Astyanax mexicanus: one gene and its partners. The protein of the gene in region 2 interacts with the protein of the main gene of each other region in a pairwise test. Links are inferred from orthologs where the notes say so. Each region holds a gene or a part of one and is shown on either strand. Other genes may lie near its edges. The genes, in order: memo1, tacc1, lsm7 and ckap5.

Region 1 (7,679 bases), on a different chromosome or scaffold from region 2:
CATACACTGCACGATAAGTCGATAATGCAATTATTGTGACCGGCCTGTAAATAGGGGTTTAAAAACTGCAGTGCTTACTACTGTAATAATAAACACTGTTAGCCTGGCTAGCTTTTATTTATTTTAGTATTTCTTTTATATATAATACTAGATCATTAATGTTTTCTGATATTATTTATTTTCTGACATGTTGATTACTACGGAGCCCCGGAGGGGCCGTGGATAAAAAAAATAATTAAATCGTGCTCACGATTTGCTATTCGTGCTCACGTTTTCTTTAAATCGTGCTCACGTTTTGCTATTCGTGCTCACGTTTTCTTTAAATCGTGCTCACGATTTGCTATTCGTGCTCACGTTTTCTCTAAATCGTGCTCACGTTTTGCTATTCGTGCTCACGTTTTATTTTAATTCGAGTGAACGATTTCTGTAATTCGTGCTCACGTTTTTATGCGCAATAAGACAAGAAGCTCGGAGGGAAAGGAGCATTTTCTCTCTTGATCTGTTACAGGGGTGCAGTAATGATAATCAGTTATCTACCTTTATAACCTGCTGTTATTAATGCACTAGTGTTACAGTTAGATGTACAGTACAGTGAGCAGATTTTGCCTGGTGGTGGAATCTCTACAGCGCGTGGGGGAGAGCCGTCCGCGGCATCGGTTCCCCCGCCGCCAGACACCTGCCGCGCGCGCAGGTCTTCACGGAGCTTATTTACCAACAATGTAGACAAATACAGTCAATTCCAGTCATGAATAAAGGAAACAAACATTTTACTGATGCAGGACAACTGTGTGTTATTAAAACCAGATCAAAACAAAGTTATAATGCAATGTGCAAATGTGTTTATTAATTTCTAAATAACATTCAGCCAGCCTCCAAGGAAATGCACACCTTCTTAAATCTGGTTACATCATTATTACTTTTATGATAGATTTAATCTATATTTTAATAATTTGTATAATAAATAAACACATAATTCAGAAAATATACATTTAAGAAGTTTATAATTATTATATTTTTTATTTGAAGCTTGTGGCATGTTTCTGGGCAGGACACTGTGATTTGAGAATAAGCAGATATTCAGGACATTTCATCAGATATAGAAACTTAATTATTTTAGGAAACATATTGGAATAAATTATCAAATTGATCCAAATTATTATATGAAATGCCTATTTACTAAATATCTTAATACATTGTATTAATAGTATTTTAGACCAGCTATTTTGATTTTATATAGTGTTACATATTTAAAGCAGCTCTTATATGAGCCATTCATAGACAACTGTCACACCTTGCATTAATTTTGTATTATCTTTATTAACTTTTACAGTGTACATTTGGACCTAAGTCTTATAGCTGTATATTTATATAATTATACTTCTTTACGTTACACTCTAAAAAACAGAGGTACGATATGAGTACTTTTTTGTACTCGAAGGTACACTCTTTATAATTGTACCCTCAAAGGTACAATATTGGTCTTTACAGGGTCAGATTTGTTCCCTCTGAAGTACAAAGTCATTTCTAACAGTAATAAGTACAAATTTGTACCATTTAACCAGCCAAAGGGTACATTCAGTATTCTGCATCACTGTACTAATGAACAATATATATTTAAATTGCACAGTTTTTATTTGAAAGCCAGACAATTTTGTATCATCAAGTTTTTGAGCCATATTTAGTTGATGATAATGTTTATAATCTTTATGATCTTTACTGCCACAAAAACCATGGGTACAAAAAAGGACTTTTACTGAAAGGTACTTTTTTGTGCCTCAATATAAGGTACAGCCCCAGCGACAAGCTTTGTACTCTTTTAAGTACAAATCTGTACTTATATTTCTTAGAGTGTATACTATTGTTGAAAATAAGAAATTATAAACAGTTCCACATTGCATTATAACTTTGTTTTGATCTGGTTTTAATAACACACAGTTATCCTGCATTAGTAATGTTTGTTTCCTTTAATCATGACTGGAATTGACTATATTTGTCTATATTGTTGGTAAATAAGCTCCGTGAAGACCTGCGCTCGCGGCCAGGGAACCCGTGCCGCGGACGGCTCTCCCCCACGCGCTGTAGAGATTCCACCACCAGGCAAAATCTGCTCACTGTACTGTACATCTAACTGTAACACTAGTGCATTAATATCAGCAGGTTATAAAGGTAGATAACTGATTATCATCACTGCACCCCTGTAACAGATCAAGAGAGAAAATGCTCCTTTCCCTCCCAGCTTATTGTCTTATTGCATAAAAACGTGAGCAGGAATTACAGAAATCGTTCACTCGAATTACAGAAATCGTGCGCACGAATTACAGAAATCGTGAGCACCAATTAAAGAAATCGTGAGCACGAATTGCAAATCGTTCACTCGAATTAAAGAAAACGTGAGCACGAACTGCTACATCGTTCACTCGATTTAATTATTTTTTTTATCCACGGCCCCTCCCGGGCTCCGTAGATTACAGCCTACAGGAAAATATTCTAATACTCTGCTCCTTGTTTTTTTTAATAGCCTAAAAATATAGATGTAACGCTGAGGAAGCACGTTTCGGCATGTTAGCACAAACCGACGCAACACCGGCCCGCTCGACGCCAGCAATAACAGGCCGAAGAGCCAGGCTAGCTCCCCGAAGCTCGGGCCGCGGGCACGCGTGGCCAGCCCCCCGCTCCCCGGCTGCGGCTGTACCTGAGGCGGTGTACCAGCTGCCGGCGTGGCTGGCTTCTCTGCACACCATTCGGTTCGACATCTTGGTGCCCGAGCCGCCTATCTTGGTCAGATGGAATTCTGATCGGTGGGGAAGAAACCCAATCAATTAATCAACCAATCAATCAATAGCGGCGGGGAGCGGAGTGTTAGAGCCGGGGCGGATCTGCTGCTCTACATATGTTCAAACCAAACCCCTGAAATCACGCGATCATCGCAGGACTCCGCACAGACCGTCCCTATCCGCCTCTGAAGAAGAACAAAGCTCGGAGCGGCGCGCGAGCCTGTACTCGGACGGGTCGGTGTGTCTCAATTCGGCTTCCGTCCTGCCGTTCCACACAGCCAGCAATTCTGATTGGTCGGTTTCAGTTAAAGGGAAACACACCCAGAGACTGTTTGTTTTTTATTTTTATTTTTTTTTTTAATTCACATTAATACACAAATATATGGTCTACACTACCAGTCAAAAGTTTTAGAACACCCATAAGTGTTAAAAGATTAGCAGTATAGCAGTGAACTACCACAAGTTTTAAGTAAAAAAAATAAAATAAATAATAATAGTAATAAAATATAAAAAATATTGTAAAAACTAACAAAAAGAAACTTTAAACAAATTATATATTGTTAAAAAAACGAAAAATTTGTATATTGTAAATAAAGGCCTGACAATTAACTTAACATTTACAGTTTATTGAATATAAAAGGCTATATATATTTTTTATTTTTAATATATATATATATATATATATATATATATATTTAATATCAGTGTAAATGTAAATGCATTTTGTTATTTTGTTACAACATACAATTGTTTTTTATAACATACATTTATTGTTAACTATAGGTAAATTAAAAACAAAACATGTTTTTGTTTTTATTTTTAATATATATATATATATATATATATATATATTATATTAGTTAAAATAAAAAATGTATATTGTAAAAAATATATATGTTGTAACATAAATTACATTTACATTTACACTGAATATAGAAAATATATACTGTAAAAATAAAACAAAAAAATGTATTAGTTGGTTAACAGCTTACAACTGGTATAAGCTGTTATATACCATTGGTATAAATGTAATTTATATGTATACATTTATATACATTTATATTTATTTGTACCATATATGTGTATATATATATATATATGTATATATATATATATATATATATATATACGTATATATATATATATATATATATATATATATATACGTATATATATATATATAATCATGCAAAAGAAGATTTTAATTAGTTAATTAATTTTAATTAGTTGTTGATATGGTTTATCAAGTGGTTGCTAAGTTGCTGACAATTCATTGCTAGATAGCTGCTATTATATCCCAGGTGGTTAATAAGGTGTTGTGGGTGAGCAGGCTTTCCATAAACCAGCTCTTTCTTTATTTTGTATTACCCTCCAGTTGACATTAATACATACAAATATATGATATAAAGCACGAGTCAAAAGTTGGGACACACCTTCTCATTCAATGTTTTTCTTTATTATATGTATTTTCTACTCTGTAGTTTAAAATTAAAGGAATGAAAACAGTTAAGAGACACATACCGAATTACATAATAAACAGTTAAAAATGTGTTAGTCATCGACAATACTCTAAATCCCGAGAGAATAATCTCGAGATAATTAATGTGAGGGGAAAATTCAGGTAATTACGCACTGTGGCCTGTAGATGGAACTAATACCATGTTTATTGTCTTCTAAAAACTCCAGGGTTGTGTAATGTTGCTGCTGGAAGTTGATACGTATGATTTTCACTACTCTAATAGAAATTCAGTGCTTTAAAAAGTGCATCTAAAAAAGAACATGATTAAAAAGTTACTTTATTTCAGTAATTCAGTTCAAAAAGTGAAACACATATATTATATAGATGTATTAAACACAGAGTGATCTATTTTAAGTGTTTATTTAATTTATTGTTGATGATTAGCAGGGTTGACTACCCTGCTTGTCCCGCCTCTCCACCTATGCTATAGTAGTGGTGATTGGATCTCTTTTTAACTGGTCCCTACCTTCCACAAAACTAAATCCGTTCTGATTGGATGTTGTCTCTGACAAACATTTTGCATGAGCATTTGCCTCCTGTCTCTCCTGCTGTACCTCCTGTAGTCTCTGCTCCTTCTCCTTTAGTCTCTCCTGCTCTACCTCCGTCTCTGCTCCTCCATCTCCTTTAGTCTCTCCTGCTCTACGTCCTCTAGTCTCTGCTCCTCCATTTCCTCCTGTCTCTCCTGCTCTACCTCCTCTAGTCTCTGCTCCTCCATCTCCTTTAGTCTCTCCTGCTCTACCTCCTCCAGCCTCTCCTCCTCTACCTCCTGTAGTCTCTCTTCCTCCATCTCCTTTAGTCTCTCCTGCTCTACCTCCTTTAGTCTCTCTCTCCTACAGAGATGTGACAAGATATCTAAAAGATCATTTGATAAATGTATTGTAACTGGCTTTCTTGTATGTAAACTCAGTCACTGATTCTTGTTTGTGTTATATTAATGGAATTATATATTCTCTTGTATAAGTAAAGTATTATTATGTACAGGGCTCTAAAGTAATAAATGTAATCAATCTGATCACGAACAGCCCACTTTAAATCACAGATGTTCAATAATATTCAGGTCTGGGGACTGAGATGATCATTCCAGAACTTTGTACTTGTTCCTCTGCCTAGTGTATTTTGGGACGTATTCAGGGGCGTTGTCTTGATGAAGTATTCAGCCCTGGCACAACTTCAGCTTTCTTACCGATTCCTGACATTGTTCTCGATGCTCGTGGAAACAAGTCCTCATTTAGAGAGCAACTTCAGCCAGAACACTTCCTGAAAAATACTGTGTTGTGCCAGGAGTTATGAAGTCAAGGGAGAGATGGAGTGCCACCAACCTGCTTGAGGATTTGTGTCAGACAGTGGCAGAACACAAATATCGCTGGGGCAGTATGTACAGTTGCAAGAAAAAGTATGTGGACCCTTTGGGATTACTCGGATTTCTGCATAAATTGGTCAATAAATGTTTTCTGATCTTCATCTAAGTCACAACAATTGACAAACAGTCTGCATAAACTAATACCACACAAAAAACTATATGTTTGCATGGTTTTATTGAACACATGTTAACATTCACAGTGAGGGGGGGGGAGTATGTGAATCTTTGAATTTAATAACTGGTTGATCCTCCTTTGGCACCAAAAACCTCAACCAAACGTTTCCTGTAGTTACAGATCAGACCTGCAGAACGGTCAGAAGGAATTTTGGAGCATTCCTCTTTACTGAACTGTTTCAGTTCAGCTATAATATTCTTGGGATATCTGGTGAGAATCGCTCTATTGAGGTCTTGATGCCACAGCATCTCAATTGGGTTGAGGAGGTCAGGACTCTCCAGAAGGCGTATTTTCTTCTGTCGTTGTTCTGTTGCATCATCCATCCTCAGTTGAGCTTCAGTTGGGGGACAGATGATCTTAGGTTTTCCTGCAAAATGTCTTGGTAAACTTGAAAATTATTTTTTCCACTGATGACGGCAATCTGTCCAGACCCTGAGGCAGCAAAGCAGCCCCAAACCATGATGCCCCTCCACCATGTTTCACAGTTGCGATGAGGTTTTGATGATGGTGTGCTGTGCCTTTTTTCTCCACACATAGCACTGTGTTTTCCTTCCAAACAACTCAATTTTGGTTTCATCTGTCCACAGTATATTTAGCCAGTACTGCTTTGGAACATTCAGGTGCTCTTTTGCAAACTTCAAATGTGCAGCAATGTTTTTTTTTGGACAGCAGTGGCTTCCTCTGTGATGTCCTCCCATGAACTCCATTCTTGTTTAATGTTTTCCTTATTGTAGATTTGTCAACAAAAATGTTAGCATGTGGCAGAGGTTTCTGTAAGTCCTCAGCTGACACTCTATGATTCTTCCACACCTCACTGATCATTCTGCGCTGTGCTCTTGCAGTCATCTTTACAGGACTTTACCACGCCTAGGGAGAGTAGCAACAATGCTGAACTTTCTCCATTTGTAGACAGTCTCTCTTACCATGGACACATGAACATCAAGGCTTTTAGAGATACTTTTGTAACCCTTTCCAGCTTCATGCAAGTCAATAATTATTAAACGTAGGTCTTCTGAGAGCTCTTTTGAGCTAGGCATGATTCACATCAAGCAATGTTTCTTAAGAACAGCAAACTCAAACATGGTGTGTGTTTTTTATAGGGCCAATTAGCTCTTAGAAAAGGCATTAGTCTAGGGGTTCACATACTTTTCCCCTCTCACTGTGAATGTTAACATGTTGTGTCTCTCCTGCTCTACCTCCGTCTCTGCTCCTCCATCTCCTTTAGTCTCTCCTGCTCTACCTCCTCTAGTCTATGCTCCTCCATTTCCTCCTGTCTCTCCTGCTCTACCTCCTCTAGTCTCTGCTCCTCCATCTCCTCCTGTCTCTGCTGCTCTACCTACTCCAGCCTCTCCTGCTCTACCTCCTCTAGTCTCTGCTCCTCCATCTCCTCTAGCCTCTCCTCCTCTACCTCCTGTAGTCTCTCCTCCTCCATCTCCTTTAGTCTCTCCTGTTCTACCTCCTCCTGTCTCTCCTGCTCTACCTCCGTCTCTGCTCCTCCATCTCATTTAGTCTCTCCTGCTCTACCTCCTCTAGTCTCTGCTCCTCCATCTCCTTTTGTCTCTCCTGCTCTACCTCCTCCTGTCTTTCCTGCTCTACCGCCGTCTCTGCTCCTCCATCTCCTTTAGTCTCTCCTGCTCTACCTCCGTCTCTGCTCCTCCATCTCCTTTAGTCTCTCCTGCTCTACCTCCTCCAGCCTCTCCTCCTCTACCTCCTGTAGTCTCTGCTCCTCCATCTCCTCCTGTATCTCCTGCTCTACCTCCTCCAGTCTCTCCTCCTCTACCTCCTGTAGTCTCTCCTCCTCCATCTCCTTTAGTCTCTCCTGCTCTACCTCCTCCTTTAGTCTCTCCTTTC
Region 2 (7,225 bases):
CTCACACACACTAGCCTTCCCACAGGATGACTGGTCTAAGCTGTGTTTGTTTCTGAGCAGCTCTGACTCACTTCCAGCAGAGAGAGAGACACAGTGTGTGTGTGTGTTTTTGCTTTTCTAATTGTGTCTCTCAGTTCCCTCCCGTTTAAAGAAGTGCTACTAGATCTATTGTCTGTGTGTGTGTGTGTGTGTGTGTGTGTGTGTTTCTTTTCACACACAAGGGAAGAAAGCAGCTCTCCTAAAAGGAATGTTCACACACACCACAAAGACAGGATGTCAACAAAACACACACACACTGTGTGTGAGGCGACAGTTAAAGCAGAGTAAACAGCCAAACTGCAGCTGCAACGTCACACATACATACAGACACAACACTGAGAAGATAGAGAAAGTGAGAGACGGAGAGAGGAAGATAGAGAGAGAGATATTCAAAATATAAGGAGAAAAGGAAAGAAAGAAAAAGATAAAGAAAGGCACAATATAAAGAAAGAGAAAAAAAGACAGAAAGAGAGAGGCCTAAATATTTAGCCTATAGCCTTTTAGCCCCACCCATTTAGCCTATAGCAGTTTATAGCTCCACCCACTCAGCCTATAGCAGTTTATAGCTCCACCCATTCAGCCTACAGCAGTTTATAGCTCCACCCATTCAGCCTATAGCAGTTAATAGCTCCACCTATTCAGCCTACAGCAGTTTATAGCTCCACCCATTCAGCCTACAGCAGTTTATAGCTCCACCCATTCAGCCTACAGCAGCATTAGTTAAGTTTTTTGCAGATTTAGAACAATACAAGGCATCCAATTGAAACAAAGCACATTTACATATACCGATGTTAATGATACAGTAATAGAAACAGCTGCTGTGAGTAAAACTCAGGGGGATATAATACACATAAATCTAAAAATACCCATGCACTCATCACACACACACACACACACACACACACATTTACACACACACAAATTCATGCACTAACACGTGACTTCTGCCAACCGTTACCAGGGCACCCACAGACATCTGTAGGAACACACACACACACACTCTGTGCGCCAAAGCATACATATAAATATCCCTACACAAACACACACACACACACAGCTCGTCTTCAGTTACATAACTATTATTCACACACGTTTATTATTAATAACATCATCCTTCTATACACCCATCTATCTATCTTCCATCTATATATCAATCCATTCTTCCTTCCTTCTTTCATTCCTTCCACCCAGCCATCTTTCTATCAATTTATCCTTTTTTCCTTCCTTTTTTCAAAACATTTATCCATGTGTCCAGCAGTAATCCATCCAATTATCCATCTATACATCTATCCACTCACCCATTTATCCATCAATTCATTCATCCACCCATCCATATATCCTTCCATTCATCCATCCATCTGGACCAAAACATCATGTTTGTAAACATACAGCACGTAGTTTAACTAAAACCCAGTAGTTTGTAGTTAAACACTGTCAATTGTTAAATTGTTAAATCCTGTTGTTTTATTCCCATCCAGTAAATAGATCTGAGCAAAAGTCTGTAGTTAATTATCATGTTTGTAGTTTGTGAGTAAATGGCATTGTTTTCGGTTAAACCCTGAAGTTTGTAGTTCAAGGCTGTAGTTATTGGTTAGACCATGTAATTTTAAATCCTGTAGTTTAACATAAATTATGTAGTTCCAGTTAGGTCTTGTAGACTCAGATTAGACCCTGTAGTTTTTAGCTAGATTCTGTAGTTTCTGGATAGATCCTGTAGTTTTTAGTTAGATACTGTAGTTTCTGGAAAGACCCTGTAGTTTTAACTGAGATGCTGTAGTTTCTGGAAAGACCCTGTAGTTTTTAGTAAGATGCTGTAGTTTTTAGTTAGATGATGTAGTTTCTGGATAGACCCTGTAGTTTTTAGTTAGATGATGTCGTTTCTGGATAGACCCTGTAGTTTTTTGTTAGATACTGTAGTTTCTGGATAGACCCTGTAGTTTTTTGTTAGATACTGTAGTTTCTGGATAGACCCTGTCTTTTTTTGTTAGATTATGTAGTTTCTGGATAGACCCTGTAGTTTTTAGTTAAATACTATAGTTTCTGGATAGACCCTGTAGTTTTAACTGAGATGCTGTAGTTTCTGGAAAGACCCTGCATTTTTTAGTAAGATGCTGTAGTTTTTTTGTTAGATACTGTAGTTTCTGCATAGACCCTGTAGTTTTTTAGTGAGATGCTGTAGTTTCTGGAAAGACCCTGAAGTTTTTGTTTGAATTCTGTAGTTTGTGGTTCAATTCTGTATGTTTTTAGTAAAATCCAGTAGTTTACAGATACACCTTGTAGTTTTTGTTAAACCCTGTAGTTGTTGTTGTTTGTCTGTAGTTTGCTGGTCTTGCCTGTAGCTCTGGGATTTCTCCTCTTCCTCGTCTCCCTCTTGCGGACAATCCTCCTCTTCCTCGCGCATCTCTCCATCCTCTTCCTCACCCGCTCCCCTAACAGCCGACCACGTCCACTTAGCCCACTGAACGGGCGACAGCCACGACATCGCCGCTCAATAACACACTCACACACACACTGCTCCAATTCAGCTCAGCACACACACACACTCCTCTGCTGTGTGGATAAAAACAGTCCAGTCTGATCCACCCAGTCTGAGACACCGACTCTCTCTCGCTCTCTTTCCCACAGTGCCACAGTGTCTCTTGACCCTCCTCCAGATGTTTTCAGCAGCTGGCAGCTCCTCAGGTCCTCAGGCTGGGGCTCATGGCGCGCGCTCACAGCCTCTTCCTCCTTCACCTCGTGCAGCAACTTCTCAACTGGAGCTGCTTCCTCAATCTACTGCAGCGAGCGAGGGAGGCTTCCTCTCTCTCTCTCTCTCTCTCTCTCTCTCTCTCCCCCTCCTCCTCTCCCTGAGTTTCTCTCTCTCTTTTTCTGGCTCAAACTGAACTCTCTCTCTCTCTCTCTCTGTGAGTTAGTCTCTCTCTCTCTATCTCTCTTTCTTTCTGGCTCAGACTGAACTCTCTCTCTCTGAGTTGGTCTCTCTCTCTCTCTCTCTCTTTCTAGCTCTGAATGCCTCAGCAGTGATCAGCTGGTCGCCCCCTCCTCCCCCTAAGAGGCAGGACTATTTTGAAGGGGGGTTTTAGGAGGAAAGAGGGGAAGTTCTGCACTTTAAGAGAAAAGGCTGGATTTAGACTTTAGGGTTAAACATCCCTCCACCCACACTCAGTCAGAATGGTAGATTCCATCAGACAGCATGTGCTCTTTCTCTCTCTCTCGCTGTCTCTGGCTCGCTCTGTTTGTTTACCTCTCTTCTGCTTTTCTAATGAGAGAGAGTACTACTTAAAAAAAGATAAGAAAGAGTCCGAGCTAACAGAGAACGATATAAGAACGTTTATCAACGTTTTGAAAAGGTTTCAGAAAGATTAGCCTGTTACGTTACAGAAGTAATGCTCAGAAATGTTGTGAAAATGCGTGAAATAATAATGGTTTATATTATTAGAATGTTTATCACTTAACTTTCTCAGCTAGATGAATACTACCATTATGGAAATGTTAAAGTAACATTCCCAATACACTAACAAAAATTACACAAGTTAAATACAAACATTCTAAGTAAGTTCAGAAAAAAAGAGAAAAATGTAACATTTGTGTAGGAAAAGAGATATTAGCAATAATACTGAGCTACTTATAGTGAGAGAGCACTAGTAAGAGAGTTATTAGCAACAAGTGTGTGGAAAAAATATATATGCACAATAAGTGAGAGTACTAGTTAAAGAGAGAGTACTAATGAGAGTGAGATATTAGCAACAATTAAGAGGAAGAGGAAGAGTGAAAACAAGAGTAAGAGACACTACTAGTGGAAGAGAGAGACAGTACTAGTGAAAGAGAGGTACTTGCAAGAAGTGAGAGTTCTAGTTAAAAGAGAGTACTAGTGAGAGACAGATATTAGCGAGAAGTGAGATTGAGAGAGACAATACTAGTGAAAGAAAGAGAGAGATAACTAGTGAGAGAAAAAGATAAAGAGATATTAGCTATAAGAGAGAATTGGAGAGACAGTACTAGTGAAAGAAAAATAGAGAGAGTGAGAGATATTAGCAATAGGTGTAGTTAAAAGAGTGTACTATTGAGAGAGATAAATTTTCAAAAAGTAAGAGACAGACCTAGTGAGAGAGAGACAGAAAAAAGGGAGACGCAATAAGCAGAGAGAAAGAAAGAGAGGAAGTTAGAGAGACACACTGTGTGTGTATAATGTGTGTGCATGGTAACAGTGGAGCGGCTGTGGAATGCAGCCCGATTTAACCGTCTCACTGCCCTCAGCACCAGCAAGGCCTGCACCATATTACACACACACACACACACACACACACCTGAAAAACCTGTCCTAACACTTTCGCTCCCACACACCTGTTCAGCACGCCCTGGCGCCCTGCCTGAGAAACATCCTCCTCCCTACTCCCAAACCTCCCTCACACACACACAATATACACACTCTCACACAACACACTATTCACACACACACACACACATACAATATACACACAACACACTATTCACACACACACACACACACAAACAGCCACACACACAGGCAGGTGCTACAGTCCAGCAATAGTGGATCATTAGCATTGAGATGCTAGTTAGCACAACATGCTAAAAACAGCTCCTCAATGTTGCAGAGAGACGAATCAGACAGCTGAAGATTCCATGAGCTGAACGATTCACTGTTCTGAGTCATTCTCTTTTTCTGACTTATTTCATAAACACTTACTCCTAGCTAGTTAGCCTAGCCTAGCATTTGATGTATTTCCATTAAAAAGATAAAAACATCATTAAGGTTACTGGTTTGATCCATGGTGATGCCACAACCATCCGAAACCAAACACCCCCAACAACATAACTTTAATCTGAGTTTAAAACACTTACTAATCCAAAGTGGGCGGGGCCATGAATACTAAATCACGGGTTGAGTAGACACAATGCTTTTTCTGATCAACTGATCTTTTCTGAATATTTTCTTTTACTAGCTACTGCACACAACAAAAGTTAAGGAAGAGTTTCATGTGCAGCATCATATACAATTTAGAGAGACCAACTGTATTTCACAAAGAACAAGAAAAAGTGGATTTTAGTAGAAGGACACCTTTAAAGCCAGAGGAGTTTAAGGTGCAGCAATAGACTAGGAGTTTCATAACACTATTACCATCTGGCCCAGTTCTTACTAACCCGCTGGTGTGGAGGATGTATTAGAGCTGCTATTCTTTGTGGATTCTCTAAAGTGCCCCAGCAAAGCAGACCACATTCTCCACTCCATAAACACTCTAAAAATAAAGTGTGTGTGTGTGTGTGCATATGTGTGTGTGTGTGTTGCTATGCTATCCACCACAAACAATACCATCACACGCTAAAGGGCAGCAGGAGAACATCTGAGCAGCTTCAGCAACGTTTATTATCTGCTCTACTGCTCTGTTTCACTTATTTCTGACCGCTTCACAACTTTGATCTTCATGATAGTCTGAATCATCACTTTATTAAATAAGTCTTTTTTTGTTTTAAAGGAATACTGAAACTAAAAAAACACTGAAAAGTAATAAATCTTTACTGCTTACTATTAAATGCTTCTATACCATCTGTATCTGTTTAAATGCCATTATTTTTACATGAAAACTTTAATAAGTCTGTTTCTCAGACTTTAAAGGAGAAGTTCTGTGAAAAATAATTGTGGATTCTAATTAATATCTACATTAGACTGTCGAAAATGTACAAATGTTGCCCTTGTAAAGACGCCCTCATGATCTTCATTTAATTGCTTTTACAATTTATTAAAAAAGCTGTATAAACATGCTGGGTTGTTTAAACACAAAGTCTTACTGAAATAATTATTACGTTAGTTATATTAAATAATATGTATTTATTTACATTATTGTTGTTATAGTTTTTGTAGACAGGTGTAGTGTTACACAAACTGAGATTCTTAATATTATTAGTATTCTGATTATTCATATTATTCATATATATAACATATTATTGTTGTTGTTCTGTGTATCTGTATATTTAAAAGGTGCTGGGTTATTTTAACCATTATTACTATATTATTACTAATATTTGCTTTGTGTGACAGGTGATACAGGAGTTACATTTACAGACATTCTTGATAGTGTTATTAGTCCGATTATGATTCTTGTAGCTGTTAACATTAATAATAATAATAATAATAATAATAACAATAATAATAACAAGTAGAAGAAGAAGAATATTAGAAAAAAATTATAAGAATAAGAATATATATATTTCAATTATGAAATCTAATTTATAATTATAAATGATATTTTTATTGTCGTCAGATGCTGGGTTATATAAACAGAGATTGCTGTAATGTGATTGTTCCTGTAGCTGCAGAAAGAGACAGAATCAGAACATCAGAACATTTCTGCTCAGACGGGTTAGGAACACAGAGGAGGTCTGCAGGAGCCTTGATTCGCTTATGTAACTAAACTCAGATCAGTTCCACGTCAGAGCTCAGCCGGGCCTCGGGCCAGAACTGCTCATAGAGACCGTTAACCCAGGGAAAACCAGAGGAGCAGGAAAATGAGAAAAACAGTCCAATCAGAACCATTATACAACAAATTTAGCTCATTATCATCATCCCACACTGCATTTATAAACACAAACATAGCATTTTTCTTAAAGGGACAGTTTGCCTAATTTTTTTTGCCCTAAGGCTAATGTGGCTAACAAACTAATGGAACCTTATGTACACTTACTAATGTACGATTAGAATGCCGAAAAAAACTCTATGACTAAATCATTTACATCAACCTCTCTTCGACCCTTTCAGTTCAGTTACACTCACTGTTTCTTTTATTGTACCTTTATCACTCAGATATGGAAATCACCTCTACTCCTTTCCTGTACTGCAGCTTAGACTGGAAAACCAGTAAGAACTGAAAAATAGGTGAGGCTTAAGTGCTGCTCACATACATGCTGGATTGGTGGTAAATCTGGGGGGAAGCTGCGGCAAAATTTGGCAAACGTATTAAAAGTTTCCGGATTGATTGCTTGGGTTAACGTGTTGATGTTGACAGAACTAATAAATACATATGAATATAGATTTTTTTCCCACACTGTAAGCGCATACATTGTTTAACCTCAAATGATTTAAGTCTGTTTTACATCAAATTGGATATTTCTAAACAATACTCAAATATTTTGAGTTAGTTAAACATTTGTGGGCACATATATACATTCAAAC
Region 3 (6,563 bases), on a different chromosome or scaffold from region 2:
TAAAACAAAACCAACACAGGCAGCTGCAATATGTCACATTACCATTTCTGGAGGATATCTGTATCCACAGATGCTAATGGGCAGGTGCTCAAGCAACTGATATACATGTTCTAAACTAGTGGGAATTTCTTTTGGGAAACGCATACGGTCCACAATATTAGACTTTACATTACAGATGCAGTATAGGCTGAAAAAACTCAAATGTTTTTAATTTGTTATAAACTATTGCTCTTAATATAAATAGGAATGTAAACTAAACAAGTACAAATGATGCTAATTGAGTTCATTTCACATCATTTTGTGTTGCTAGTAGATCCTCATTTAGTTTTTATTATTTTTTATTCTCTTTAATCCGAAAATTAAGTGGCCTTTATATTTAGTAAAAAAATAACTGCTCGATAAATTGTTTAAAGATTAAAAAAAAAAAAAACATTAAAAGAGAAATGGCTAACTCCAAACATTTTATGAATGTCCAATTTTAATAATAAAACAATTACTAAAAAACATAACAGACATAAAGAGTGAACATAACTCAACACAGTTTAATCAATCATTCAGATCCGTATTTAGAAACAAGACAAAACTAAAATAGCTGACAGAAGCCAAAACAAAACCAGCGGTGTAAATGTAGTATGTTACATCTCTGAATGACTAAATGACGTCCGGATCCATGATACTGGGTGTAACTGAAATATGAAACTCATTTTCCTTAACCAAACACCTTTTTAGAAAACAGTCACATAATCCCAAAGCGTACAGTGTGTGAGACTGTGTTCAGGGTTGAGTGTGTATTAGCCATCCTGCTGCTGTATGAAGGGGTTGGGAATAGCCTCCATGCCGTCCTGCGGGCAGATCAGCACGACTGCTGTCCCCCGACAGACCACCAGGCCGAGCTGTCTGGTGTCTTCCGTCAGCTTGTACTGGTCATCAGGATCTGAGTAATGGAGTGACAGATTTTAGATAACTATTATACTTAAGTATTAATAAAACTTAATAGTTGTATTAGTTGTACAATTTTTTGGCATAAACATTCTCAGACAGAACAATTCTCAGTCTTTTTACACTGCTGCTAACACAATGTTAGTGACAAACTCTGTTGTCTATCCTTAAATAACCTACCTGACTGTGTAAGGAAACGACATGCGAGATGCATAGGCATTCAGAGAGAAATACAAGACGTTAATGGCTTTCTGATACTTACCACGCATGTATTCAATTGTGCCATCCAACACCAAGTTTAACAGAGGATCAAACCCCTTTAGGACACCACTGGCTGTGTGGAAAAAAAAAAAAAACAATGCTTAAAAAAAGGGCACAAGAATAAGTGTTACGCTCATTACACTAGAAATAATGTTCCTTACCCTCACGACCACCCTGGAATTTTACTCTGATTGGTTTGTCAATGTATTTTGACAAGTCGAATATGCTCTCCTTCTTTTTCTTCTCTTTATCCTGTAAATGAACCACAACAAAACTTAATAAGTAGTGAGAGAATAACTGGAACGGCACAAAGTAGGCGATTAAATGTTTTTTCATAGACTCCTAATAAGAACATTTATAATCTTTTTTCTAAATAAAACTGAACTACAAATCGTTGCATGACATCTATAAAAAGGGGGGGGGGGGGCTTAAGTACACTTCAGTTTCTGAATCAGTTTCTCTGATTTTGCTATTTATAGGTATATGCTTAAGTTAAATTAACATTGTTGTTTTATTCTATAAACTACTGACATTTGTTCCGAATTCCAGAAAAAAGTTGTATTACTTTTTACAATTATTTTTTTGTTAATATTAATTGATCGATTGTGTCAGTTTATGAAACATTTTCTTGCTGTTAGAGGCTGAAATAGCTTTTTATTTAGTCCATTCCACCTTAAACTGTTCATCAGTTACATTCGATGCCGCCATTTAAGGTGGAATGGTCTATACCAAAAGAACTAGATATATTATAAAAAGACAACTTTAACCTCGCTAACATTTTTATAGTGAATATATATTCTGAGAACTTGGGTCAGGCCGACTAGCTAGATAACCCTACACTAGTTAACCTATTTAGGTTATGTCTGGAACTCCTCAGCTAACCTAGTTAGCCTCCTGCTAGTTAGGACTGGAACTAACTTCGCTTCATTATCAGCCTATATATAACCAGCTTTTGTTCATACTGCAGTAAGAAAACCGCTGGCGTTTTGATAACTGCTCGCTGCGAGGTTTCTTTATCATATTTCCAGAACAGAAACTCCATAGAATAATGAGCAGAATATTCCTCCAGCAGCAGCAGCATTCATACTCACCGCCATCTTCACTCTCCTCTGCGCCTCCTCGCTGATCCTCCCTTTGACCCCGGCTCCTCCACCAATCACAGGCGGCGTCCTTCAGTCTTCACTACACATATACAGACTTTACATAACATTAAAAACAACATTTTAATCTGAGATAAATAACCACCAATAACAGAGAGCTACGGTCCTGAAAACAAGGCAAAATCAAGGAGAAAATTAAGAGAAATTAAGAGAGAGAATTAAGAGAAGAGTCCCCGGGGGCGTCCCAATTGTCACATTTATGGGTTATATACACTAGTACACTAAATGTAATTTTGTTGTTGTTTTCGTAGATGATATTACCATGCACAAGTGGGCAAGCCAAAATCATATAATATACAATAATTGTTTGCCTTTCCCAAGCAAAATACACCAATAAGGGTAGAAGTAGATTTACACGTGACTGGCTATTATTAGCATTGCACCAAATATTATTCAGATATTATATAAATATTTATGGTAAGGAGCCAAGTGTACTCCACAATGCTAAACTGCTAGTTTACTAAGAAGTATTAATGGACTAATACAAGCAAACATAGCTAGCACCTGATACTATACATTTATAAAACCCTATCACAATCTCATATACAAAGAGTCCACAATTAGGTTACATATTACAATATTTATTGATCAATTCAGATGTTTTTTTTTTTATTCAGATCAGATTTGGCTGTCTTCAAAAAATATCCATCTACACATTAACAGTAAATCTGAGTTAAAAATCAGTTTGAAGAGGTCAGATTGACATATCCACACAGCCCTAAAATAGATCTCGCAAATAGATGTCACATTAAAAACTGCACTGAAACCACTTTCACCTGTGAAACCAACTAATCTTAAAAGTCTACTTAAAGTCCGGTAAATATGGTAACTCTGGTTATAATCTTGTATTTTAATGGAAAAAAGATATATATCATCCATTAAGCTAATATTATAGAATCTAACGTGGGCGCCTACACCTAATACTGTAACTGTAGCGCGCATATTAGCACTAGCTATCCGCCCTAGTAAGGTCACAAGTGCGCGTATTGGAACGCACCCTTGCTCATTATTTCCGACTACAGCGGGAGGCGAAGCGCCAAACTCGAAATTCGGTGCTCGCTTGCAAATCTGGGGTCAGAATTAAAGCTGAAACGGACGAATTTCGGTGATTAATTGTCGGATTATGAACTAGACATGACGGAATTACTCTTTAACAAGACTTTACAGGTCCAAGTGAAGTGTAAAGATTGCGACGACAGGTAACAGATGTCCACTTTTCTTGATGCTATGCTAATCGTAGCCTAACATAGCTAGCCGGCGGTAGCTAGGTTGGCATGCTAACAAACAAGCTAAAATAATACACCAAATAAAACTGCAGTACTGAGTTAAAATGATCAGCATTATACTGTTAAACAGATGGACCTAAGCTACATTAGAGTTATTCATTTTACATGGTAGCTAATATCAATATATTATTGTGAATGTACTGCTGTGTTGCTGTAGTGTTCTCCTGTTTTCTGAAGTGGGTGTTTTATTGTTGACTCTTTAACTGACTTTTTTTTCAGGCGGTCGTTTATTCGTGTCAGTACTGAACTGCACCTTACTTCAAACCCCATCCACAAAAAGGTGAGAGATTAAAACGTACCTTCCATTTATTCTTCAATTAGCTAGTTTAGTTTGGTAGGTACTTAGATGGGTTGGCAATGAGGCATTGATTGGTGCACTGTGATGTACAATACTGTAGCTACAGACTACAATGTGTTTCTGTGTTTGCTTATTCCTTTATGTTATATTAAGTTGTGTTCAAAATGTAGTAATCTGTGTTTTCTATAATGAAACTTAATTGGGTTCCAGGTAAAAATCTAAAATGATAAGGATACTCTTGGCGATATGACAAAACACCTGAATAAAAAAAAATATTAAAGAATACACTACTGCAACAAAATTAAATACAATACAGTACATACAACACATACAGTATGATATGGCACACCCCTAACTGAGATATTAAAATATACAAGAATTTTATCAGATTTGTCAATGATGCAGAATGTCATGATACGAATACTGCTCTCTATATTTCCAGGATTAAAGTAAAATGAATGATACCGGTAGATATATAATGGGGAAATGGGAACAGTGTGAATTTTTCTTTTGATAAATTTGACAATTACGGGTGGGTTATGTGGCACGATATTTCAGGGTATAAAATTGTTCATGATATTCAAAAATGATGGCGATATTATTGCGTACGGCACACCCCTAGCCCAGATGGTAAAAAACAGAGCTGTATGTTAGTTTACACAGACTGAGAAAGTCATTAGAAAAAGTTTCTAAAAACAGTAGCAAATAGATACAGAATATATAGCAAGAACAGGTAACACGACAAAATGTTGGTTAATAGCTAAATCATTACAGCATGTTATCATTTATTTATATATTTACAATCTATAAGAATAATTATGATGATGAATAAAATCTGAAAAAATCAGATCAAAAAATATTTATTATGCATCTTTTACAACTAAAGTCTCAAAGCAGCTTTACAGAAATGTGGTAGCATTTTGAGGTGAATAGCCACTATCCAGAATTCTAGTTAGAGTTCATATATATTTTGATGTGCTTGGTAGTGGACAGTGAGTAACGAGTCCAGGTGGCATAATCTGGAGGAAGGTGGCATAAACTGGGCTGTGGGCAGCTGATCTTTGGTGGGTGACATGAAAACCTGACTTCCATAAACTTCCATCAGTCTGGCTGAACAGGTGACAGGAGAACCTGAGGGTAGAGCATCCATCAGTATCAGTCAATAACTCCTTCAATAATAAGGAAGGCAGAAAGATTATTTCAGACATCAGGGTGGTCCTACTTTAGTTTTTAAGGAATATCTTTAAGTAAACGTATATATTATCCAATGTTTTATAAACTACAGTACTGAAGCTGAAATGTTGTTTTGTTTTCTAGGATCTAGTGGTGAGGTTGACTGACGATGCTGATCTCTACTTTCTGTATAACCTTGTAATATCAGAGGAGGATTTCCAAAGGTATGATATTGTGTCTTTGGCAAGGTTGTTTGATTTTTGATGTTACAGTTTTATGAATACTTTTGTATATTCACATACACCAGCCTGTGTCAGGGTAAATGATTCCCCACTTAGTTCTGATACTTCAGTGGGATTTTATGAGAGACATAAGTGGAGATGTAATTATATATAAAGTATTTTTTAAGCAATGTACAGTAGATTTCTATCTACTGTATCTTAATCTTACAATTAATTGGATGTAATAAAACTGTATTGTCAATAGAATAATACACTTGAGTTGACTTCACTCGAGTATATTGACACTGGTGTACAGGTCCTTGACCCTCTGCTTTTAACATCTACAGTACACCAGTTAAATTTTTTTGTTAAATTTCACATTTTGTTGACTTCCTTAAACATGATCTCCTAAAATGTTAATGACTGCTGTTTTTGATTCTTCACTCTCCCCACAGTTTAAAAGTCCAGCAGGGTCTGCTTATAGACTTCACTTCATTTCCTCAGAAGTTTATAGACCTATTAGACCAGTGTATCTCCGAGCAGGACAGAGAGAACCCAAGGTACAGATGTCCGATGTTCCTGTCTCTCTGTCTTTCATAATATGAGGAATAAGTAAAACTGTGCCAAAATAACAAAATAACTGACACAATAAACATTTTTTATGAAACAATGGTAGAAAAGAGTGTAAAACTCACTATCTGTATGCTCATTCTCATACTCATTTTTAATTTCAGGTTTCTGCTACAGCTTTCCTCCACCTCCTCTGCATTGAACCACAGCCCTGCAAATCTTAATATAGTGGAGACCAATGCGTTCAAGCACCTCACCCATCTGTCTCTAAAACTGCTGCCTGGCTCGGACGTCGAAGTAAAGAAATACTTGGCCACTTGTTTAGCCACAGTGAAGGTCAGAAAATCATAAGTTCTCACAATATTGTCTTCATTTATGTGTGTTCTGAATGTATAAAGAATCTATCATTGCATTGAACAATGCATAGGTGAGTTCTCCCAACCTTACCATGTTCATAGATTGATAAATAAAAGTGAATTGGGCAGCCTAGGTACACAATTTACATGCATTTAAATGACTTTATAATGTTTCTTTTGTAATTTTTAAGGGCTGCCTTTTTACTCTAAAGACAAATCTAAAATAAAATAATCTAAAATAATTATATTATTTGAATAAGTTGTTGAACAGTTGCTGAGCTGCAGGGCCTGGACATACT
Region 4 (7,704 bases), on a different chromosome or scaffold from region 2:
ACTCTACCTCTTCACTACTTTACAACTGATGCTCTCAAACACTTTATTAAGAGGCAGAAAATTCAGGTAGCTTAATTAACTCTTGACGAGTTCAGCACAGCTGTTAACTGAAAGCCTGAATTTCAGGTGACTCTACCTCATAAAGCTGACTGAGAAAATCCAGCCAACATGTTCAAATCTGCCATCTAAGCAAGAGGTGCTACTTTAGAATCTAAAATATAAAAACATATTCTGGTTTGATTAACACTTTTTTGGTTACTAAATAATTGCATATGTTTTTCTTTATAAGTTTAAAGACCTTAGTATTAATCTACAATGCAGAATAAATAAATAAATGCTGTTATTTGTACAGGTAGACTCACTATTCTGCAAAATAGCGCACGATGCCGAACTGAATGTACTCCTCTCTGTGCTCCAGCAGCTGCGTGACCGCATCACTCAGATAGAACAGGGCATTAGTCTCGGCTGAAACACACAGCGTTAATACACGGATTACTGCTTTAAAACCGCGCCTGCAGTTAAATACTGCGATTCTGCGTTTAGTGTAATAATAAAAAAGACATAACATACCTAAATAGTCGTCTGTTGTGAGGGTAAACCGCTCTGTGTTCATTTTCATCGTCTCCTGGATACAGCCATACTGCAGCGTGCAGCTTCTTCCCACCTGTATTCCGGCAGGCCCCGCCCTGCACTACAGGGATTGGCTAGTGGTTCACACAGCTTTCAGCTGTTAAAATAAAAATAAAACTATTTTATAATTGAATGTACAAATTAAAACTGTTTATTTTGCTCCAAAAAGACTAGAAAAAACTAGAATATTTATTTATTAATGTTGTTATTCAGAATTTTAAAAGATCGTTCTAGATATTTTCCAATAAAGTGGATTACAGGGTAAATATAAATATAATGATGTTATTTTGGGTTTTAACTGTAATATCTCTTCTGTCAGCTTCACTTAGAATCTGATCCTTTTTGGGAAATATTATCTGCACATCTTCAGTTTCATCAGTTTTTCTTGTTGAATTTAATATATTTATCGAGTCTCTTAATTGTCTTAGCAATAAAAAAGATGTATCCACTATAAAGTGTATAAAGAAAAAAATACCACAATATTTTTCAAATATATAATCAATTCTGACATTACAACATCACAACTTTCTGTAAACAGAGAGCACAATTTAAAGTGATGCACACGCTATTGTTTTCATTAACATAATTTCAACTTTACATACAGCTTTTATATTAAACCCGCTGTAAACATGACCTCCTTGTATTTCAGTTAAGGAAAAGTGTAAAAATATAAATCACTGTCACATAAAAGAGTTATTTGCAGGTTTCTGACAAAAGCAGAAGCCTTTATACTAAAATTCACTCTGGCAACTTTGACATGTAAAGGTGTACAATTGTAGGAGGTGTGTTTGTCTAAAAAAAAAAAAACAAATAAAAACTTTTTTGTAATTTGTATTTTTTGTCATTTCATCTTTATCATTACTGAAGAGTCAACACATAGTACGTCTTTACGTCTTTATTAATATGATGAGAAATAATTTCCCTTTAAAGTATAATATCATAAAAACTGTATGTGCATAGCATACATAAAGGAAAGAGCTCCAAAGTTTAAACAAATAGGAAAATTTAACGTAAGGCAAACAAAAAGAAAATCTAAATCCAATTAATATTCTATTACTACTTATTAAAAAGGATTATTTGTTAATTAATTTAAAAGAAAAGTAATATAAAATAATACACAGAAGGTAGAAGGTGTTTAAAAACTCGAATTATGAACTATAGTCCAAATATACTAATACATCTTTAGTACATGCAAGAAACTGCAAAACAGGCCACGTTATACTCTATTTCAGTCGTCTCAAAAAAATCGAAGGTATTGACATTTCAGCCTAGCAACGTGGCCAAGAAAATTTACACAAAAGGTCTATTGTAGTTTATTAATATATGTTTTTGTTCTAGTTATTTTAAAATATAGACCGATAACTATGGATATATTTCACATTCTGCCTACTAGCCAATCCCAGTGCAGGGCGGGGCTTGGTAGAAAACGGGTGGGAAAGAGAGTTCGTGACTGCAGAGGCAGAGTCATGAGTCCGGCAGCGCGATCTAGTGGTGAATTCAGGGAATGAGCTTTAATAGCATTTCATAATCTGTAGTTAAAGCTGAAGCCTAAAGACTGCATATGAAAATTCTGAGGTTATCACATATTTATTTTATAGAATGATTGGTTCATTCATCTTAGAAAAATATTATACGCAATTTAACTGTTTTTTCTACTTAAATGAATGTGAATAATGAAACAAAATTAAGCAAAATGTGTAGATGCACACGTTAAAAAGAATAAATGCTGCACAATTTAGTTTCCCTATGTCTAAGTTAGAAATTGTTTAATGGTTTTTTTTCACACGTTTATTATTTAATGAAGTTTAGTAGTATTTCATGAGAATAAAATATCAGTGCTGATAGAAGACAAGGACTACATAAAATATAAAATGTATAGTTATAGTACATTTATAACATTCAATTAGTCAAATTTACAAAAAAGTACATAAAAAACAGGAGGTAGACTACTTGTCAGCATTATTTAAACAATTATTTGGATAATTTATAATGTACAGGACCAGAGCTAGGAAAACTGCAGGGACAAAATGCCAATTTTATATACCATCTTCAAGTAACAGAATAGAATAATTTTAAGATAATTCTGAGTATGCATCAGCTTAAATCTTGAATCTACACAGACAGAGAGAGAGAGAAAGAGAGAGAGTATTATATCACTATAATCGATATAATTATTATAATTACTATAATAACAATTCAGTGGGTTTTTTGTATTTTAAAATTTCTGCATTGTACATTAATACTAAAGTCATCGAAATCATGAAGAGAAACATATACAGGTGCTGGTCAACGAATTAGAATAATTTGAAATAGTGCAATCATGAAATTCTTTGAATGCATTTTTTGTGCAGAAAGCAAATCAGGTGTTCACCGCACCTGTCCTACTCGTTAGACTAATCACAGAACTCGTTACCTGGAAAAAAATTTGCTCAGCTGAGCTTTCCAAAAGGCCCATTTAGGCCATTTAACTGTGACACTGTTGTTTTATTGAATTAGAATAATGGAGAAACTGTTTCATTGAATTAGAATAATTTTTATTATAATTACAATCATCACTTTCTCAGTATTTTGTGGCTGCCCCCTTGGCTTGTATGACTGCCTGAAGTCTCCGCGGCATCGATTTGACCGGCTTGTCGCACGTTTCCGCACTCACAGCTTCCCAGGCAGTGGCGATGTTCTGCTTCAGTTGGTCCAGCGTAGTAGGCTTTCTGTCGCGAATTTTCCGCTTGACGATGGCCCAAAGGTTTTCAATGACATTGAGGTCAGGCGAGTTGGCCGGCCATGCCAAAACTTCAAGCTGTTTTTTAGTGAACCAATCTTTGGTCGACTTTGCCGCATGAGCCGGTGCAAGATCCTGTTGAAATATGAAGTCTTCTTCGCCAAACTGTTCCTCAACAGTTGGAATTAGGAACGTTTCCAGAACATCTTGATATACGGCAGCATTGACAGTCTTCTTGAGGAAGCAGAGTTTCCCTACACCTCGAGCGGACATGCATCCCCAGACCATAACGCTCTGGGGAAACTTGACGGATCTTTTCACGCACTCGTGGTTGTAGGTTTCGCCACCACGACGCCAGACACGAGGACCTTGGTCACCGAAGGAGATGCAGAAGCGTGATTCGTCACTGAAGACCACTTTCTGCCAGTCTTCAGCAGTCCACTCGCCGTGTTCTTTGGCCCACTTCAGCCGTTTCTCCATTTGTTTCTTGTTCAGCATCGGTTTTACTGCTGGAACGCGAGATTTGAAGCCGAGTTCGCGCAGACGACGGTAAGTGGTTGATCTGGAGACGTCAGCGCCGGTCTGCTTGTTCCACAAGTCGGTGAGCTCGGAAGTGGACTTGAACCGGTTGCTGACTGCGATCTTTCTCAGCTGCTTGTTGTCGCGAGCAGAAGTTTTTCGGACGCCGGAACAGTTGGTGCGCTTGCTGCAGTTTTTCTTGAGAGCTTTGCAGACGGAAGACTGGCTGATGCCGAGCTGCTCAGCAATTTTAGTTTGGGTCAAGCCTTGTTGGCGAAGGGCTTGAATTTGAGCCACTATTCCGGTTGAGAGGTCGCGCTGCTTACCCATGATTGATTTTACAACTTAGAAATTCTACTCAACCCTGACTTTATACTGCACAGTGAACACTCTTCACAGAAAACAAAAATTCGAGCATTTATTCTAATTCAATGAAACGGTTTCTCCATTATTCTAATTCAATAAAACAACAGTGTCACAGTTAAATGGCCTAAATGGGCCTTTTGGAAAGCTCAGCTGAGCAAATTTTTTTCCAGGTAACGAGTTCTGTGATTAGTCTAACGAGTAGGACAGGTGCGGTGAACACCTGATTTGCTTCCTGCACAAAAAATGCATTCAAAGAATTTCATGATTGCACTATTTCAAATTATTCTAATTCGTTGACCAGCACCTGTAGAATTACAATTTACAATTAAGGAAATATGTAGTATGAAAAATATAATGTTAAAGTGCTGAGTAAATAAAACAAATAAGATTGATCTACTAAAAGCATGAAGTTCAGAGCCCCAGGGGTCAGGGTTGTGTCTCCGGCCTGCTCCCGCCGGCGCCTGCGCGCTGTCTGCGGCTCCTCCCTCCCATTCTCCGCCCTTGGAGGCGTTTCAAAAGGCCGGAGAAGAGAATGAGCACAGCGGCTCTGGTAGCTCCAGCACAGCGCCCTGCCTTCCCCAGCCTACTGCAGGTAACCCAGTGCTCCCTCATCTCTCTGCAGCCGATCTGAAAACAGCATAGGTGTGTCCGTGTTATCTGGGCGGAAAGCATCGCAGGGCGGCGGCGTGTGTCCGCGCTGTTCCGCTGGGTGTGTTTCCAGGGCCTGTTGTGTGTGTGTGTGTGTGTACATGTAGATATGAGTGTGTGTTGCGATTCTTTCAGTCTAACAATAGCTAGTGTGTATGTGTCGCATGTAGTTTCCACGTCACGGACTGTAATGCGGTCTCTTGTGTGAAATAATCCGTTTTAATTCATTTTTTTAAATCGTAGTGTTTGGAGTTAGACCTGAAATGTCCGTTTTGCCTCCGCTGTGGTTGCTATGTGGAGGCTAAGCTAAGCTAGCCTCGTACACTGCGTATTTACACTGGCCTGTGAGGAGCTATGTTTCATCAGTCAGACGTTTTAAAACATATTTAACTAGCTGGCTGTCTAGCTAACATGCTAACCAAGTACATTTCCTGCTTTTCTCTGATTAATTTGGTGAGTACTCTGAATAACTAATTAAGTTTATAACCTGGTTAAGCTTGTATAGGAGCTTTAATGCATAACGTTACATAGTTAGCTCGCTAGGTTTGCTAGATAGCTAGCTAAGCTAGCTACGTGTAATATCTAACGTCAAATAACGGACAGAGCTAACTAAGTTAGCTACACAACTGTCTGTACTTTTCATCTATGTGTGCATATGTTGCGTTTAAAGCTATGACTGCCTTAATTTAAAGCTAGTAATAATATATAGATAACATCTGCAGTGTGTTTTTAAGTAGAGTTAAAATAGTCTTCAATCATCCCTTTAAAACAGGACTTTATATGTTGTCAGGTATTGTGCCAGTAGCCTAACCTAACTAAGCTCGCTATCTAAGTCACAAGTATGGGGGAATTTTGTTTAAAAAGCTTAAGCTTAACGTCTGCGTGTATCTTTTATTTGGTACGCTGCTTGTGTGCAGACAGGCTGGGTCAGTAGTTCATATTCTGTATGTTTTGGCTGTCACACATTGGTCTAACGGAGGTCAGTTTGTTTACATGCTAACTAGCTAGCTGGCTAACCTAACTAGCTAACCTAACCTATATGCCTGGCTCATTCTTGTGATATAAAACAAATATAGGTTACCCAGCTAGCTGTACACCTGAATCTGTTATGAAGTCAATAACGTTATTTTTCAGATGGGTGATACTGAGCATATAGTTACAGTACCAGTCAATTTTCTACATTTTCTGTATATTAATATTAAGATATGAAAACAAATAAAATGCACATTAAGCGAAGTAGTAAATTTTCTGCTTTTCTCTGTCTAACGTTAATTCGTTTTTTAGAGTAAGTACTCTGAATAACTTACTAGCTAGTAGGGCTGGGCAATATTATATTGTATACAATATATCGTGACACAGAAATATCATGATATAAAAAAAAAACATATCATGATAATAGGACTGTTCTGTCTTAAAATTTGTCTATTATTTACTGTGAAGCTTTAGGTGTATTTATTGTATAGTTGTTTTAGTTTGCAGTTTATATGCATGCACTAAATATTCTGCAATATTATTTGCTGCATTATATTATTTTATGCTATATTATTTATTCTGCCACATTATGATTATTCAGTTATACTATTATACTATATTCCTGAAATGAATTAATTATTTTAGTTTTTCTATATCGCCAAGTATATTGTTATCGCAAAAATACCCTGAAATATCATGATATTATTTTAGAGCCATATCGCTTTATAACCTAGCTAACGTAAGCTTATTTAGAAGCTAGCGTTATAATGCATACATATTTAGTTAGCTAGCAAGCTAAACTACATAGGTTACCTTTCTGTACATTTAATCTACCTGTGCATATGTTGCGTTTAAAACTAGTCAAATATAACACCTGCAGTATAAGTAGAGGATTTAGGTACGTTTAAAATAACCCACTGTCCTCTCTGTGAAACTGGACTTATGATATATGCTATCCTATAGTTTCCAAGTAGGTACAAGTATCGAATTTTATGTTACAACACGATTAACATGGCTAAAGAGGCTTTTTGTTGGAAAAGTGTCCTATGAAAGCAACGTATGCATATATCTATATCTTATTTGTTATACTGCTTATGTGCAATTATGGTCATATCTGTTGGCTGTCATACATTGTTCTGGACAAAAGGTCAGTTTGTTTATATGCCATCCAACATTCCTCATTATATAAAACAATTAATTTAAAGCAATACACCTGATAATATTTTATGATGTCAATATTTGGGTGATACTGAGCAAATACAGTACCAGTCAAAGGTTTGGAGAGATCATTTCTCAATCAGTGTATTTTTTATGATCTTATTTTTACATTGTAGATTAATATTAAATACATAAAATGTTTAATTAATTAAGTGACTTATTTAAATATGTACCTGACCTAAACCCAACTGAGATGAGCTGGAAAAGATGCAACTATTGTTCCGCACCTCCAGAAACTCCTTCAAGAAGCTGAGAGAACTATCCCAGGTGACTCTCCCTCATGAAGACACTGAGATTAAAATATCAAGAGTGTGCAGATCTGTCCTCAAAGATAAATGTGGCTACTTAGAACAATCTAAAGTATAAAACGTATGTTCTGCTTTAATACTTTGTTTACAAAATATTTCCACATGTGTTCCTGTATAGCTTTAATGTCTTCTTTTGACTGGTACTGTACATCATCATGATATTTTCTAAATAATCAGCGTATCAGGTAAGGTTAAATGTGCTATTTAACAAAAACAGTGAATCTCTCAGTTCCTGTGTGGTACTTTTTCATGCTAGACTTACAAACTTACAAAGGTTCCTGAAAAATTAATATTTCTGTTGGACTGTTTTGTTCTTTATACAGC

What was found.
Region 1: the proteins of tacc1 (region 2) and memo1 interact in binary tests that used the Homo sapiens proteins (3 or more experiments, as listed by UniProt). The two-hybrid records come from large-scale screens. The link is inferred for Astyanax mexicanus from reciprocal best matches to the Homo sapiens genes TACC1 and MEMO1.
Region 3: the proteins of tacc1 (region 2) and lsm7 interact in binary tests that used the Homo sapiens proteins (3 or more experiments, as listed by UniProt). The link is inferred for Astyanax mexicanus from reciprocal best matches to the Homo sapiens genes TACC1 and LSM7.
Region 4: the proteins of tacc1 (region 2) and ckap5 interact in binary tests that used the Homo sapiens proteins (3 or more experiments, as listed by UniProt). The link is inferred for Astyanax mexicanus from reciprocal best matches to the Homo sapiens genes TACC1 and CKAP5.

What each region holds. Positions count from the first base shown.
Region 1 is NC_064432.1:14,305,200-14,312,878, forward strand, and holds the start of memo1 (protein MEMO1), read right to left. Parts: upstream 3,019-7,679; 5' UTR 2,754-3,018; coding exon 2,693-2,753; intron 1-2,692. UniProt on the Homo sapiens protein: May control cell migration by relaying extracellular chemotactic signals to the microtubule cytoskeleton. Mediator of ERBB2 signaling.
Region 2 is NC_064427.1:21,873,865-21,881,089, forward strand, and holds the start of tacc1 (transforming acidic coiled-coil-containing protein 1), read right to left. Parts: upstream 3,015-7,225; 5' UTR 2,522-3,014; coding exon 2,373-2,521; intron 1-2,372. UniProt on the Homo sapiens protein: Involved in transcription regulation induced by nuclear receptors, including in T3 thyroid hormone and all-trans retinoic acid pathways. Might promote the nuclear localization of the receptors.
Region 3 is NC_064423.1:26,828,623-26,835,185, reverse strand, and holds lsm7 (U6 snRNA-associated Sm-like protein LSm7), read right to left. Parts: upstream 2,417-6,563; 5' UTR 2,298-2,416; coding exon 2,292-2,297; intron 1,453-2,291; coding exon 1,362-1,452; intron 1,274-1,361; coding exon 1,202-1,273; intron 935-1,201; coding exon 792-934; 3' UTR 523-791; downstream 1-522. Other genes in the region: sass6 (spindle assembly abnormal protein 6 homolog), read left to right, coding at 3,495-3,559, 3,866-3,926, 5,262-5,341, 5,794-5,898, 6,073-6,244. UniProt on the Homo sapiens protein: Plays a role in pre-mRNA splicing as component of the U4/U6-U5 tri-snRNP complex that is involved in spliceosome assembly, and as component of the precatalytic spliceosome (spliceosome B complex).
Region 4 is NC_064417.1:7,118,007-7,125,710, forward strand, and holds the start of ckap5 (cytoskeleton-associated protein 5), read left to right. Parts: upstream 1-4,691; 5' UTR 4,692-4,826; intron 4,827-5,067; exon of another isoform or gene 5,068-5,335; intron 5,336-7,704. Other genes in the region: cstpp1 (centriolar satellite-associated tubulin polyglutamylase complex regulator 1), read right to left, coding at 363-465, 571-619. UniProt on the Homo sapiens protein: Binds to the plus end of microtubules and regulates microtubule dynamics and microtubule organization. Acts as a processive microtubule polymerase. Promotes cytoplasmic microtubule nucleation and elongation. Plays a major role in organizing spindle poles.